Linked DNA regions of Diceros bicornis minor. The protein of the gene in region 1 purifies or fractionates together with the protein of each later gene. This does not show direct contact. Links are inferred from orthologs where the notes say so. Each region holds a gene or a part of one and is shown on either strand. Other genes may lie near its edges.

Region 1 (7,583 bases):
AGACCAGTACCTGTGAAGCCTCTGAGTCAAGAAAGTGGGTCAAGAAGTTCCATGGAGCTGGTGTAGGGGATGGAAAAGAACTTTTCCCACTACCCTCTTAGGTTCAGTATCCGGGGCCTTGCAAATGAAACTGATCAAAGACAGATTAACAGAATTTAAAAAACAAGAGTTTATTTACACCTGCAACACATACACATAGGAGAATTCAACGATAAGTAACTAAAGAGGTGGTTAGATTTGGGGGTTACATACTATCTTAGCAAATGGCAATAAATTTGTGGAGAAGTGACAGGACAAAGGAAAAAGGGTTTGGACTTCTAGGGGTGGTAAATTGTGGAAAGGTAAACATATGGGGAAACTAATGGGAGATAAGGGTTATTTTAGTACAGTTTGTTTGTGCAGACCCAACTCAGTGCCAACTCTCTGTCTCGTGATAATGTTTGTTTTCCTCCTCCTGGTACAGGAGAGGGGAGAGGAAACACCTTCACAAAGGGAAATTCATGTACTGCTTTTAGGCAGATAGGGGGAGGGCAAAGAGCTCTTTCTATGTTTGCTGCTTCTTAATTGCTTTCAGCTCAAAATAATCCTTATGCCAAAGTGACATATTCTGATCCCTTTTGCTGGAATGTAGAGTATAAGAGGGAGATAGATGACAGAAGGCTAAACAAGGAGGCAGGGACTAGACCTTAGAGGGTCTTGTAAGGCAAGTTAAAGGGTTTGGACTATATCCTAAGAACGGTGGGAAATCCTGAGTTGAGGGGGCATATTTAGGCAGAGGAGTCCTCACATGATCGGACTTGCTTTTGGAGGTAGGTAAGACTAGAGGCAAGAAGAGACATGAAGGTATATTTAGGAGGTAAACTTAGTAGGGCTTTGTGACTAGATGTTAAAGAAAGAGAGTGGTTTCTGGTTGGGCAATGGAGAAGATGACAATGCCTTAAACTTGGACAGGAAATATTTCAAGTATGAGGAATGAGGAGCTCCATTCTGAACAAAGCACCTGTGAGACACGCAGATAGAGACATCCAGTTCACAGCTAGGCACTTGGGTCTGGAGTTCTAAGAAGCAGTCTGGCTGCAGAAACAGATTTTGGAACAATTTGTGGATGAAAAACTGAGGCCACAAGAATGGAAGGGTGTTCCTGGGAAGAATGTGTAGGATCAGAAGAAGACCTACAACAGATCCCTGAAGCGTTCTAACATTAGAGGGGCTGCAAAGGAAACTGATAAAGAACAGAGCAGTAGGAGGAAAACCAGGAGACCGTGTGATCAGAGAAGCCAAAGGAAGGGGATGATTTGACCAAGACGGAGAACCAAAAAAAAAAAAGAGGAGAAAAAAAGTCTCAAGGTCAAGTAACAAAAGAAGAATAAAAGGCAGCATGCAACAGGGACAAAAGAAGGATACAGACAAGGAGGACTGAAGGAATTCAGAAGAGTAAGCTTCTCCTGGGCTATGTTTCAGTGGGACCTGCATCTGGGCACTGATACCATGTCTAGCTTCTTGAGTAGTTCCCTAATGCTGGCCTCCAAATCTGACTGAACATGAAACAGAACAAGAGGCAGGCTAAGGAGAAGAGATAATTTACCATGTTTGGAATAATGCTTACTCTAACCTAACTCCACTCGCCAGCTAAACATATGTGGATAATGAATGACAGCAGGGTACCCAAGTGGTTGTTGGATGGTGAGTTGAGCTTAAGTATGTCAATCAGGAACAGAGAAGGAAGTAAAAATGCTCTAAAAGATCCCATTAAAGCACAACTTCAAACAATGTGGCCTTGCTGCGGAGGAGCAGAAAATCACAACAGATGTATCAGCCCAGCGAACAACAGTCAGAAAAGAGATGCCTTTTTTCAGCAGGTAAAAAAAAAAGGCTTTAGGCAAATTCCAAGCTTACAAGTCAGATGTCAAGCACCACAGACTCTTTAAATGCTGACTCCAGATACACATTTCCATACAAAAAATATCATCTCTGTGTATCCCGTGTTGTAAATTCCTACATTTAAGTTTACAAGAATCCATTGTGCAAATATAAGACTTGGGTCGGCAGACCACAAGCTTAGCATGAGCAAACAGTGTCATGTGACTGCTAAAAAATGCAAGTAAAACTTTAGTGTACTTAATAGAAGTGCTCAGATAATAAAAGCAGTAGTCCTACTGCATTCTGAATTAATTAGAATAAATCTGGAGTGTTGTGTTCAATTAAAAGCATCAAATTTTAAGAGTAATATCTCTTACCCATCGCTTTCTTCCCATTCCCACTACCAAATTCTCTCATCTCATACCCGGTAGTTTCCCAGCAGTCACTCCTTCCCATCAGCACATGCCTTGTGCAGCATCACTTTGCTAGCCTCCCATCTAGAGGTGGAGTCTATTTCTCCTCCCACTGAATCCAAGCTGGCATTGTATCTGACTTGAACCAACAAGAAGTGATGGAGTTTGACTTATAGGCCTAGGCCTTAAGGGACCTCACAGCTTTTGTGTTGGCCTGCTTGGTTGCCAGCCACCAAGTCAAGAAGCTGGGGCTAGACTACCGATTGATGAGAGGCCAAGGCTGAGAGAGAGGTCACGTGGAGGAGAACCGAGGGGCTCAGCCAATAGGTAGCACCAAGGCCCAAAACATCTGAGTGAAGCCGTCTTGGATCTTCCATCCCCAGTAAAGCCAATGATGGTAATATTCTGTATCTGTGCTATCCATTATGGAAGTCATTAGCTACATATGTCTACTGAGTCTTTGGAATGGACAGGGCTCCTGAAGAACTTCACTTTTTTTTTTTTTTGGTGAGGAAGATTGGCCCTGAGCTAACATCTGTTGCCAATCTTCCTCTTTTTGCTTGAGGAAGATTGTCCCTGAGCTAACATCTGTGCCCATCTTCCTCTATTTTGTATGTGGGACACTGCCACAGTGTGGCTTGATGAGCAGTGTGTAGGTCCATGCCAGGGATCCAAACCCATGAACCCCAGGCCGCCAAAGCAGAGTGCGCAAACTTAACCACTACACCACCAGGCCGACCCCCAGAACTTCATTTTTAATTTCACTTGATTTTAACTAAACTTTAAACAGTCAGTGGCTACCATATCAGTCATTGTAGAAGACTATTCCCACTCCAATTCATCCAGCATAATTCTGCTAAAAGAACAGGGCAGCAGAGAATCACCTTAGCACCTACGCTTTATGGGGCTACAAGTGCATAAGCAGTAACTAGAGATGACTGGTGGTGAAGAATATAGTAGCTCTGTCAACTAGCATTAAAAAAAAAAAAAAAAAAAAGACCTCCCTCCACATCATCCAAAGGAAGGGAGTGACCCATTCCAAACTGATTTTATCTGCATAAAATGTGAGAATGAGAAAGGGAAATTGCCACACAATGGAATATACACCCAACGTCTAGCCTAGAGATGTCCTGATCAGAAAATTAACCTTCAAAACTGTTTTCCCCATCTACAGAAAAACAAAATTTTAATAGCTCCCTGGTTCACATATTTTTGGGGGAGAGGGAGCAGGAAAGAAATTTGAAAGAGCCTACTATGTGTGTTAGACACAACCACAAGGGTTAATGCATTTAATTCTCTTCATCACTTTTTTCATACTAGGGAAATAGAAGTTCAGAGAGGTTGTGACTTGCCTAAGGATCTAAAACTAGTTAGTGCAAGAGAGAAAATTCAAAATCAAGCCTCTGAATTTCTCAATACACCACAAAGCCTCTCCTATAAAAATTTCTGCCTGCCTTCCGAGATTTTCCATGATCTGGTCATCTAACTAATTATTTCCAGTTAACACCTTAACTCTTATCAGACTGATCTCATTTCTGCTTTCCTTCACTTACCCTCTCCTTTCTTTTCTAATTCTACCCATCCTTCAAAGCCCAGTTTGTGTCCCTTTTTCTTTCCTCATCTTAATCCCAACTAATTTTCTTCCCCTCTGAATTTTTACATCACTTATAGTGGGCACCACATAATATAGCACTCTTAGTTACATTGCTTTTCCCTTAAATCGACCGTAATCTCTTTAAGGACAAATACCAAATAAATTTTTGGAGGGTGGCAATCCTTCCAAATTTCCTATATCCCTTTGAGGCATGAATAGGTACTTCTGGAATGGATGAATGACCTAAGCTCAACAGACAAATACTTCTTGATTAATTAAAGTCAGCCCCAAACTCTCATGTTTTACCCTTTGCTTAATCTACCGCGCACCAATTAATCAAGAAAAGCTGAGCAGAAATCAAGACGGCAGCACAGCCACGTAACGCTCCCCACCCGCTCCGGCACGCCACGCCCAGCCTGCTGGTAGCCGATTGGGCGTGGCCCAGCCTAGGGTGGCCTATTGGGCGTGGCGTGCGTGAGTGAAGGCGGGCCGAGAAAAGAAACCTACGCTCTGGACAGGACTCGGTAGTCTCCGGTAATCCTCGACAATTTCCGGCAACGGTCTCCTCCTCCGTCGACCCACCTCGGGTGTTTCCGGCCTCCTTCGGGCTTTTCCGTCTGGCGCCCGCGCGGATCTCTCCCCTTCGGGTATTTCCGTGTCCCGCTCGGAGGTACTCGGCAGTCTCTCGGCCTCCCCCATTCCCCGGTAACGGTCGCTGGTGAGTTTAAATGAGCCGGGGCTGGCCGGGCCGAGCCGCTACGGGGGGGGCCTGAGGCACTGCAGAAAGTGGGCCTGAGCCTCAAGGATGACGGTGCTGCAGGAACCCGTCCAGGTAATGAGAACCCCGTTCTCTGAGGCTTGGCTCGCAGCCTCGGTCGGGAAGCAGCGTATGGCCACTCCGCGGCCTGGTGCGGCCTAGGCCCGGCTGCCTCTCCCGCCTCCCCCCATGCCGGGTCCTGCCTATCCTCTCGTCAGTCCGGAGGCCTTGCCCGTAGCCTACGCCGTGTTACCTCTGGTCCTACGTCCCTTCTACCCCTCGTGTGAGCGGGGTTCGGCGATAATAGCTTCTTTCCCCTCCGAGCCAACGTCCACCTGGGCCCTCCTGTCAGTCTAGGGGCCCGGCCCCGGCCGGGGTGAGGGATGAGGGGCCGAAAACTCGCCCCAGGTGCTCTCGTGCCTAAAGGATGGTGGGGAAGCACATTTGATCAGAGCTTGTACGGGCTTCATAACGGTGGGGCAAGTTGGCGGGGTGGAGGGGGTTGGTTTTGTTTTTGTTTTATGTGAGAGGGCGGAGGGAGGGTAGATCGGTATTTTTAATACTAATTTCTATTTTGGTAACAGACTTGCAAGCCCACGTTGCTTTTCTCGCTCAGTGAATTTCCCACTGGACAATGATCTGAGAAGAGAACTCCAAGGCCCAGTGCTGAGGTGCAAGCACCTATCCAAGGGGAGGGGGTGGAAACGGCAAATCTGGGTTTTTCCATGACCTGTGGTGGGGATCAGGAGTGTTTTATTGTGCATGTTTGTAAGGCGTTCAGGAAATGAAAGACAAATAGTGGTTTTACCATCCACTTCACTGTCCTCACCACACCAGGAAGTGTGTGAGGCAGTGCCAAGTCATTTTTCCCCTTGTCGTCTGAAGAAACTGAATCTTTTGTCCCTTGGTGATGAACCAAGTCTGGGAGACTGTCAACCCACCCTAGGATCTTGAACTTGATTAGAAGAGTTGAGCTCTGTCAACTGCTGTCATTGACTCATGGATTTTCTCTATTTTGAAGTTATAAAGCAAACTGATTTTAGAAATTATTTCATATACCCTTAATAGGCCTGTGATATCAAATAGTAAATATTTTAGTACATCACTTCTTCCATATTTCCTTAATTTTTCTTCACAGGATGAAATACCAGTTTCTGCTAGTTGGCTGCTTCCCCGGCTTTTTACATGTAGCAGCTATTAGTGTTTGATTTAATGTAATGTGGGATTCTATTTTAGGAAATTTACCTGTTTGTAAGTTGTACCAGTGCTTCCAAAGCTATTTCTTTCCATCCAAATTCCTCTTACTAGTAAAGAGTCTCTGAAGATTTTTTTTTTTTGAGGCTTAACATGAAATTAGAAGTTGCTGTCTGTACCTTCTTACATAGATAAGCAGATCACTCAAGTTGTTTAATTTCTGTTTCATATTCTTGTAATTCTGTCTTAATAATTAATGATACGTTTGCCTTCTTTGGCCCCAAAAGACTTCTAAAATGATAAACTAGTTTCATTGCTAGCTTATAACCACTATTTAATAATAATTTCAACTTGTATAGGAGCTTGGAGAAGAAAAGAAATACATAGCCTATTCCTAGATAGTGCCTGCCAGGTTTCCTCTTTTCCTTAAAGTACTCTTAGCAGTAATGCACTTAGGCATTTTTAAGGCTCAAATGTCAAATTTATCTTTTTTTTTCACACTACCTTTATCCATTAGATTTGGGAACAGTGGTAAGAAGTTTTAAGATACGAGGTAGTATAAGAAGAAATAAGAGATCTGGAGCAGAGGGAAGAACAAGCAATTTTGGCTAGGATGATAAAGATCAACTGACCAGAGATAGTGCTGAAAATGGGAAAGAATTAGTGAGGAAGAAAATAAAAATAGGGGACTAGCCCTGTGGCGTAGTGGTTATGTTCAGGCGCTCTGCTTTGGTGGCCTGAGGTTCGCAGGTTCGGATCCCTGCTGCAGACCTATGCACCGCTCATCAAGCCATACTGTGGCGGCGTCGCATATATGAAATAGAGGAAGATGGGCACAGATGTTAGCTGATGGCCAATTTCCCTGACCAAACAAAAAGAAAAGAAAACTAGGACAGATAAAGATACTGTATATGTTTTTCTTTTTAACTATAATAAGTGATTGCATGTATTTGTAAAGGGATGAGAGTAAGTTGGAAAGTTGTTTTCTTTCTTGGGATGCCTCATGGTTCATGGTATTACTAGGCATAGGAAAAAGTTGAGAGAAAAAATGAGCAACTGATCTCTGCCTTTTTATTTTCTTTAACGTTTTAGTGTGGAATAGCCAGTCTGAGATAAGGTAAGAATAAGCTCCTCCTCCAAATTATCTCTCATAGAAAAGTGTTAGTTAATATTTGAGTCATTTCAAAAATCTCTCCTATTATGAGGCAGAAATTCTGTCGATTATTTTATTTTTAATATAACTGTTTGGAGAGGACACACTACCCTAAATGACTTCAATCAGTGCTAATTTGGAGGTTTATAAAATTCACCTGATGAAACTGATTAAAAAACCAGTGATATTTTGATAGATTTATCAATTATTCCTGGGGTAGGACTTCACAGTTAGAAGTGTTGGATGAAGTTGTAAACAAGCCTTATAAAAATCACCATAATGAGCAGTGTGGTAAGTGGTTACTATTCACATAATATCATTTTATTTATTTATTTATTTATTTATTTATTTATTTATTTATTAATAATCATATATTTTTTTAAAGATTTATTTATTTATTTTTTTCCCCCCAAAGCCCCAGTAGATAGTTCTATGTCACAGCTGCACATCCTTCTAGTTGCTGCATGTGGGACGCGGCCTCAGCATGGCCGGAGAAGCAGTGCGTCGGTGTGTGCCCGGGATCCGAACCCCGGGCCACCAGTAGCGGAGCGCGCACACTTAACTGCTAAGCCACGGAGCCGGCCCATAATATCATTTTAGAGGTCATTAGAT
Region 2 (7,900 bases), on another chromosome or scaffold:
TAGCACTTCCGCAACCACATGAATTTCCCTCCAAGCACATGTTTCTTTCATAATTTAATACAAATGAACAGGAGAAATGAAGATTAATTTCTGATGCTAGAATTCAAGCTGAAAGGACAATTTGGGTTCATCGTACCAAAAGAAGTTCCTAGATCATCAGTATTTAGCAAAGGAAGCCCCCCACTCCGTCCCCACTCCTCCCCACTGCCCGTGCCCCGCCAATTCCACTCTCCTAAACTGACTCAGAAGGCCCATTGCTAGGCCACCTCCTGATGAGTTCTCAGATCCGTCCCCTTCTCTCCAACAGCCATGGCCACCACCCTCGCCCAAGCCACACCAACTGGGTGCTGGATTTGCTGCTCAGGGCCTCCAGGCCAGTCTCTACCCAGCAGCCCCGAGCTAGAGTCTCAATGTGAGTACCAAATCCACTCACACCTCCTGACCAATGTCCTCACTGGCTCCCTAGGGCTCTGCCCACCGCTCCAGCTCAGCTCGGAACATTCTTCTCTCTCTCCCCCGTCCCCCCATCTCTGGCCTTCATTCAGTTCCTCCCATAACGGCTTTATTGAGATGTAACTCACATACCGTACATACAACTCACCAATGTAAAGTGTACGATTCAATGGTTTTTAGTATATTCAGAGAGTTGTGCACCATCATCACAATTTTAGAGTATTTTCATCACCCCCAAAAGAAAATCCGTACTCATTAGCAATCACCTCGCTATCCCCCACTCCACCCCCCAGCCCTAGGCAATTACTAATCTACTTTCTATCCACATGGATACGCCTCTTCTGGACATTTCATATAAATGGAATCATACAGTATGTGGTCCTTTGTGGCCTCTTTCCCTCAGCATCATGTTTTTGAGGTTCATCCATGTTGTAACATGTAAAAGTACTTCATTCCTTGCTATGGCCATATAATATTCCATGGTTTACCCACTCGTCAGTTGATGAACATTTGGGCTACTGTGAATAACGCTGTTATGAACATTTGTGTATGAGTCTGTGTGTGGACATACATTTTCATTTCTCTGGGGTACATACCTCGGAGTGGGATTGCTGGGTCTTATGGTAACTCTATGTTTAACCATTTGGGGAACTGCCAGACTGGTTTCCAAAGCAGCTGCACCATTTTTCATTCCCATGGGCTTTGTGTGAGGATTCTGACTTCTCCACACCCTCCCCAATGCTTGTTATTATCTTTGATTATAGCCACCCTGGTAGCGTGAAGTGGGATCTCATCGTGGTTTTGATTTGCATTTTCCTGATGGCTAATGATGTTGAGCATCGTATTGATGTTGATCTTGAGCAGCACCTTGAAGGCCCTGCGTGATACCCCCTCCCCAACCCCAGACCACACACACCTCTCTGACCTCACTCCCCCATACCCGCCCCCTCTCTCCTTCTGTTCCAGCCACAGTGGCCTCCCTGCAGTTCCTCGAGTGTGCTAGGCCCTGCTCCAGCTCTTCCCACTGCCAGGAATGCTCTTCCTCTGATAAGCACATAGATCATTTACTCCCTTCCTTCAAACTTGGGTTCAAATGACATCTGCTCGGAGAGGCCTACCCTGGCCACCCGGATTAAAATTCACCATGGCATCAGCACAACCTGGCACCCGAGCCCCTCCCCTGCTCTGCTTTTCTCTTTTCCACAGCACTCGGTCCCTTCTGACATATCATGTATTTTATTTATTTTTTATATTTTGTTTTTATGTCTGCCTTCCCCCACCACAGTAAGCCCCACAAGGGCAAAGACCTCTGTCTGTTCTCTGACGTACCCCAAGCGCCAGAATGGTGCCTAACACATAGTAGGTGGTCAAGAAACACTTACTGAATGAATGAACATCCTCGATCTGTCAGGCACCCTGCTGGGGCCGAGGACAGAGTCCCCGCTCTCCTGGGGCTGATCTAGTCAGGGGAGACAGAGACACGTAAGCAAGCAAGTAATCACAAATTCTGATGGACCAGGAAGATCAAAGATGGTCAAGGGAACAAGCGAGGGAGTGGAGGCAAGGGAGCCGCCCTGAGATGCAACAATTTAAGGTGAGCCCAGCCAGTGAGGAGGACAGAAGAAGGGGTAGGAAGCTCTCCAGGCACAGGGGACTCCCGCTCGCACGTCCTCAGGTGAGACAGAGCTTGGCTTATACGGGACAGATGGAAAGGCCAGGGGGGCTCAAGGAGAGTGTGCTTATGGACCTCATGGGAATGTGGGGTTTACTCAAAATGTAGCGGGGAGGAGGGCTCCTGAAAGGTTTCTAGCAAGAGTGGGGCATGTCAGGATTCCAGGGGTCAGTAAACGGCCTCCCTGAGGGCCATCTCCGGCCACTGCCTGTTTTTGTAGACGAAGTCTGACTGGAACACAGCCACCCCCCTTCCTCGGCAAATATCATGCAGGCTGCCCCTGGGGCAGAGCAGCAGAACTGAGCCGGCTGGGACAGAGACTGGTGGCCCCCAAAGTTGGAAACTTTTACTCAAAAAGTGTGCCAACGCCAATTTTTAGGCGACTGTTCAGTGAGTAGGCGATCCCCTCCCTCTCCCTCACACCAGGTCATGTTGATTTCACCAAACCCCATCACTCTCCCCCCCTCACCGCCACCAACCTGCTCGGAGCCGCCATCATCCCCACCCGGATGGCTGCAGTCACCTCCTCACGGGCCACTCTGTTCCTGCCCTAAGTCAGATGGAGTCACGTCCTGTTCAAAGCCTTCAGCGGCTCCCCCTTGATGGAAGAAAAGAACACACTGCTCATCATGGCCCGGGTGTGTGATATAACCACCGCTCCCCCTTCCCTCTCTGACCTCAGTGCCTTCCACATGCCCGGCTCACTCTGACCTGGCCTTGCTGGCTTCCAGGTGGTGCCTGACACACACCAAGCACCATCCCCTCCCCAGGCCTTTGCACCTGCTGTTCACTTTTCTCAGAATGTTTTTCCCATAGACATGAGCCTTCCCAGAGAGGCCTTCCCTGCCCAGCCAAGGTCCAACAGCAGCCACCACTGCTCCCTTTCTCTCTCTCTGGCCCTAATTTACTGTTCTTCGACGTCTTTATCACTGGCCGACATGACAGTATATACTTACTTCCTGACTGTCTGGCTCCCTCAAAGGATGTAAGCTCCATGAGAGCAGTTTTGTCCCTTTTACTCTTTGCCGTATCCCCACAGCATCCTCCTGCCACATGGTAGGTGCTCAAAACCCAAAAATGTCATTGAATGAACACAGGTGTCCAGAGGGGAATCCTAACAACATCCACCTGACAGGGCTGTTGCAAGGACTAAGCGAGATCAAGCACGCAAAGGAACTAGAACAGTGCCTGGCACACAGCAGGCACCTAATAAATAATAACCATCATTATCATCATCTTTATGTCTGTCGGGTGGGTTTGGAGATAGAGCTTGACTACCACGTCTGCCTTGTCCCGGTGGGGGGACCCTGGGCAAGCCACCAGACCCGCCTCTTCCTTCAGTGTTCTTGTCCCTTAAATGGGCTGGAATCATCTGCCCCCAGCGGGCTAAGGTTCATGATCTGGTGTGAGAGCTGCCCGCACCGCCAATGCTCCACAAACTCTCGTTATTACTAGACTGCAAGGCTGTGGGCACCTTTTACACCTTCCCGCCTCCTGTTCCAGCAGCTGAGGCCCCAGGAGGGGACGCTGGTAGCCACCGGTCTTTTCAGGACACTGTGGCCAAGCTGGACCGGACTTGGCTGAGCTGAGAGGGGCCCAGAGGACCCCATGAGGCCACTTCCGCTTCCGGTCCGCCTCCTCTCTTGGCATCTAGTCAGGGCCGGCCCAGGGAGCTCCGGCTCGTTTAGGGGAAAAGCCGGGCCCAGTTTACTAACTGAAGCCTGAGACCACTGTGTGTCCACTTCCCAGACAGGGAAAGTGAGTGCCAGTGAGGGCCTGGCCAGCCGGAGGCCGCGGGTCAATCACAGGCAGGGCCGTGCCCTGACGAAGGCCTGGGGACTGTTCCTTCTTCCTTCTCGGTCATCACGAGGGATCCCAGCCCCCACTTCCCACAGGAGGAAACTGAGGCCCGGCGTCGTGACTGAGGCCTGGCCGGGGTCAGAGGTCACACATTTGAAGGCCAGGGGTCCACGCCTTCGAGGCCGTGCTGACTGGTCTTTGAACTTCTGCAATCCAGGACGCAGGTCACAGGTCATACCCAGCACAAAATGGCGCCTCGTAGAAAATTTAGATCGATTCTCAGCGCCCACCTCCCCGCCACCGGCTGAGGAGGGGGCGCGGGAGGCAGTGTATACCTTATTTGCATATACAAAAACCAACGAATTTCGTTGGCTGCGATCTGCTTGGCCCGCGCTAAGCAGGGCCCCCATTGGTCGCTCTCCATTGCTCCCGCCCTCTGTCACCCTTCTCTGGCAAGGATTGGCCCGTGCGAGTCTCGTTACGCCATTCCACGATTGCGCATCCCTATTGGCCAGAGTGCCTTCCATCATCCGTTTAAAACCCCCAAGTCCCGCCTCCTCTCGCCCCGCCCAGGCTCCCAGGCCGACCGTTAGTCGCGTGCGCGACTTCCTGAGCATCAGGGCGCGCGCGCGTACCGGGCCGTGGCGGCGTCTCATTCAAACAGCCCAATCAGCGGTCGCGTCACCTCTCCCATCGCTTTCCACTCTACTGCCCCTTCTCAGCCCCTCCATTCTCCGGGGCCCCCTTTCCGACCCCCGCGTGCCCCCATTGGCCGACCCGCCGCGCGCCCCCTCCCCAACTTTTCCCGCTTCTGCCCATAGCTTGCAGAAAGGGAGCGAGCGCGTCGATAGCCCAGGACCTTGCGCGCTGACGTCACGGGTCGAGGCGCGGCGCTCTGGGGCCGCAGCGGGGCGTGGCCTGCGGGTGGCTATAAAGAGGTGTCGGTGGGCGCGCGGCCGGCTCAGTGCGGCCGAGCGCCTGGGGCGGGTAGATTTCTGAGCGCGGTGCCCTGCGGGCGTCGGAGGCAGCGGGGAGCCGAGCAGGGCCGCCGGGGCCTCGCTAGGGCCGCAGCGGCAGTAGTTGGGCCCCCCGCCCCGGCCGGCGGCCCGGAGAGCACAGGAAGGGGGCCGGGGGGACCCGCCCCCGACCGGCCGCAGTCATGGTGAGCGCGGCAGCCAGGCCCGGGAGGGGCCGTCGGGGGCGCTCCTGGAGAAGGAGGCGGGGTCTCAGGAGCCTCGCGCGGGCGGCCTGGGGGTTTGGAGGGCCCGCATGGGGGTCCTGGGCTGGGGATGGACCCAAGGGCCTTCCTGGAGGCGGTGCGGGAGGGGAAGGCCCGGCTGAGCTCCGGGGAGGGCTCCGGGCTTTGTGGCCCGCCTGTGGGTTTTCCGGGAGTAAGGACGCTCCGCCGCCATCTCCAGGCCCCAGCTGGGGTTTCCAGGATTTTTTTGTCAAGGTTAGGTGGGGAAGGGGACCACGCCAGGCGTCTGTATACCCAGAATCATCGGTGGCCCATGCGGTGCTACGAGCGGGCTTTGGGGGCTTCTAGGAAGGTGGAGCTATCTGCAAGCTCCCTCAGATGTGCCCCCATTTCTGGTGGGAGATCAGCCTGGCAGGGCCACCTGAAGCGTCCTGAGTGGGGGGTCTGGGAACACAGGCATGATTGACAGCCTGAGACTGCAGAGTCAAGACTAGGGCGGCCACCGCATCCTGGATCCTGCCAGAGGCCTGGGCTCTGCTAGCCGCTCACTCCCTTCTCTCCTGCGCCCAGAACTCCAACGTGGAGAACCTGCCCCCCCACATCATCCGCTTGGTGTACAAGGAGGTGACGACGCTGACAGCTGACCCGCCTGATGGCATCAAGGTCTTTCCCAACGAGGAGGACCTCACGGACCTGCAGGTCACCATCGAGGGCCCTGGTGAGTGTGGGAACCAAACAGGAAGAGGTGCGCTTCCTAGATTCCGTGTCATCCTTAGAGCAAGAAGAGGAAGCCCCCATTATAAGCCGGACTCTGCCAGGGGCTGGGGACGCAGTGGTGGACAGGACAGCGCACCTCTTACTCCCGTGGTGCTTGAGTCTGCACTGCAGGACACTACAAATGACAAGTAATTGTGTCTACTTTTCCTGTAAATGTGAGAGAATCCTGGTTGCCCAGAAATCATATGAAGGGGGCCTTACCTGGGTTTGGGGGGAGGCTGTCATTTACACGTTCCCTCAGGTAGGAATTAAATGGGAGTGGGAAGAGGGTGCTGGATGGGAACAGTGTCAGCAAAGGCTTGGAGGATGGGCCACACTGTCTCAGACTCCGTCTTGCTGTTGGCGTCGGGGACATAGCAAACAAGCCAGATGCAGCCTGCGGAGAGATGACAATCAAATATTAGACTGGAGAGCATTTAATCATGCAGAGATTTAGTGTGTTGTTCCACATGCACTATGTTTTTGCTATTCATTGAATTTCTACAAAGTAAGCCAAGTTGTAACAAGAAGGGCCTAGTCTGGAGTGGGGTCAGGCACGGGGGTGGGGTGGGTCAGGGAAGGCTTCCTGAGATGGTGACAGTTATGGTGATTTACGCCCTGATGGGGTGGGGCGGTGGGGATCCTGACAGGCCCTTGGCAGGTGCAGTACGAGCAGAAAGATAAAAAGACTGGTGAAGGCTTTAGGAAGCAGGTATTTGTGCGCTTGTAGGTCTCTCTCCAAGGAGTTTGCGAAGGGAGCCGTTGGTAGGTTTACAGCAGGTGTCATAGGTCGCTTTGGAGTTCCTTTAACTTCAGTGGGGTGAAGGGAGGGTGGAAGCTGGAGGCTGGTGTGGAAGCCGTCCACCACTGCTGGCATCTGGTTCGGCTGAACTTGGAGGTGGGCTCAGATTCAGGAGGGGCCGTGGAGGTCGGCTGCCCAGGCTACTGATGGGTTGGATGTGGGGCCTGGGGCATGAGGGACAGCCATGGGTCTGGAACGGCTCCACAGTACCTTGACCTGAGCAAGTGGGTGAATGAGAGCACTGCTTACTGTGGCAGGGAAGACCATGGAGTTGACAGAACTGTCCCCTCATTTGCCCACGAGGCTTCCAGGTAGATGTTTTGCCGGGAAGATAAGTGGGTGCGAGTATCTGTGCCTCTTGGGAAGGGGACGCAACTGGGGCCTTCATGTGGGAGAGAAGAGGCATCCAGGGGTGGAGAACAGGGCTTGGTGGTGACACAAGTCAGGGGGTTAACTCTGTGATGGTGGTGGGGTGTTCCTGCAGTCCCCTGGGAGCCTAGCCCTGTCCTACTCTCAAGAATCCCCCAGGGAGCCATCCCCGTGGCGTAGCGCTCTGCTTCCGTGGCCTGGGGTTTGCAGGTTCAGATCCTGGGCGCGGACCTACGCACTGCTCATCAAACCATGCTGTGGCAGTATCCCACATACAAAATAGAGGAAGATTGGCATAGGGACCGTCTTCCTCACCAAAAAAAAAAAAAAAAAAGAATCCACCAGTCTGATGGAGGAGGCAGCAGGGCACTTGCCTCATAGACCGGGCTTTGGGGTTTTGCAGGATACCTAGGAGTCCTGGACCTCCTGACTCAATCCACCCTCTCTGCTTTCCAGAGGGTACCCCATACGCTGGAGGCCTCTTCCGCATGAAACTCCTGCTGGGGAAGGACTTTCCTGCCTCCCCACCCAAGGGCTACTTCTTGACCAAGATCTTCCACCCCAACGTGGGCGCCAACGGTGAGATCTGCGTCAACGTGCTCAAGAGGGACTGGACAGCTGAGCTGGGCATCCGGCACGTGCTGCTGGTGAGTTCGGGGTGGGCCCGGGCCGCCTCCCCCCGGGCATCCCAGTGATGTCCGAGCCGCAGTGTGTTCTTTCTTTGTTAAAATCAACTCTGAAGTGACTGGGGGCTACCATGTAAAAATCCAGGCTTCCGGCTCTTTTGGAAAATCCTGGAAGGATTGGCTGTGCAGGGCCTGGGCGCCTGGGCACCTGTGCCGTGGAACAG

Evidence for each region.
Region 2: the proteins of CDC27 (region 1) and UBE2S purify together in Homo sapiens (affinity purification with western blotting; 4 studies listed by BioGRID, with this or other methods). This does not show direct contact. The link is inferred for Diceros bicornis minor from reciprocal best matches to the Homo sapiens genes CDC27 and UBE2S.

The regions. Positions count from the first base shown.
Region 1 is NC_080757.1:44,865,208-44,872,790, reverse strand, and holds the start of CDC27 (cell division cycle protein 27 homolog), read left to right. Parts: upstream 1-4,562; 5' UTR 4,563-4,672; coding exon 4,673-4,699; exon of another isoform or gene 4,700-5,011; intron 5,012-7,583. UniProt on the Homo sapiens protein: Component of the anaphase promoting complex/cyclosome (APC/C), a cell cycle-regulated E3 ubiquitin ligase that controls progression through mitosis and the G1 phase of the cell cycle.
Region 2 is NC_080773.1:33,396,843-33,404,742, reverse strand, and holds the start of UBE2S (ubiquitin-conjugating enzyme E2 S), read left to right. Parts: upstream 1-4,895; 5' UTR 4,896-5,084; coding exon 5,085-5,087; intron 5,088-5,693; coding exon 5,694-5,841; intron 5,842-7,506; coding exon 7,507-7,697; intron 7,698-7,900. UniProt on the Homo sapiens protein: Accepts ubiquitin from the E1 complex and catalyzes its covalent attachment to other proteins. Catalyzes 'Lys-11'-linked polyubiquitination.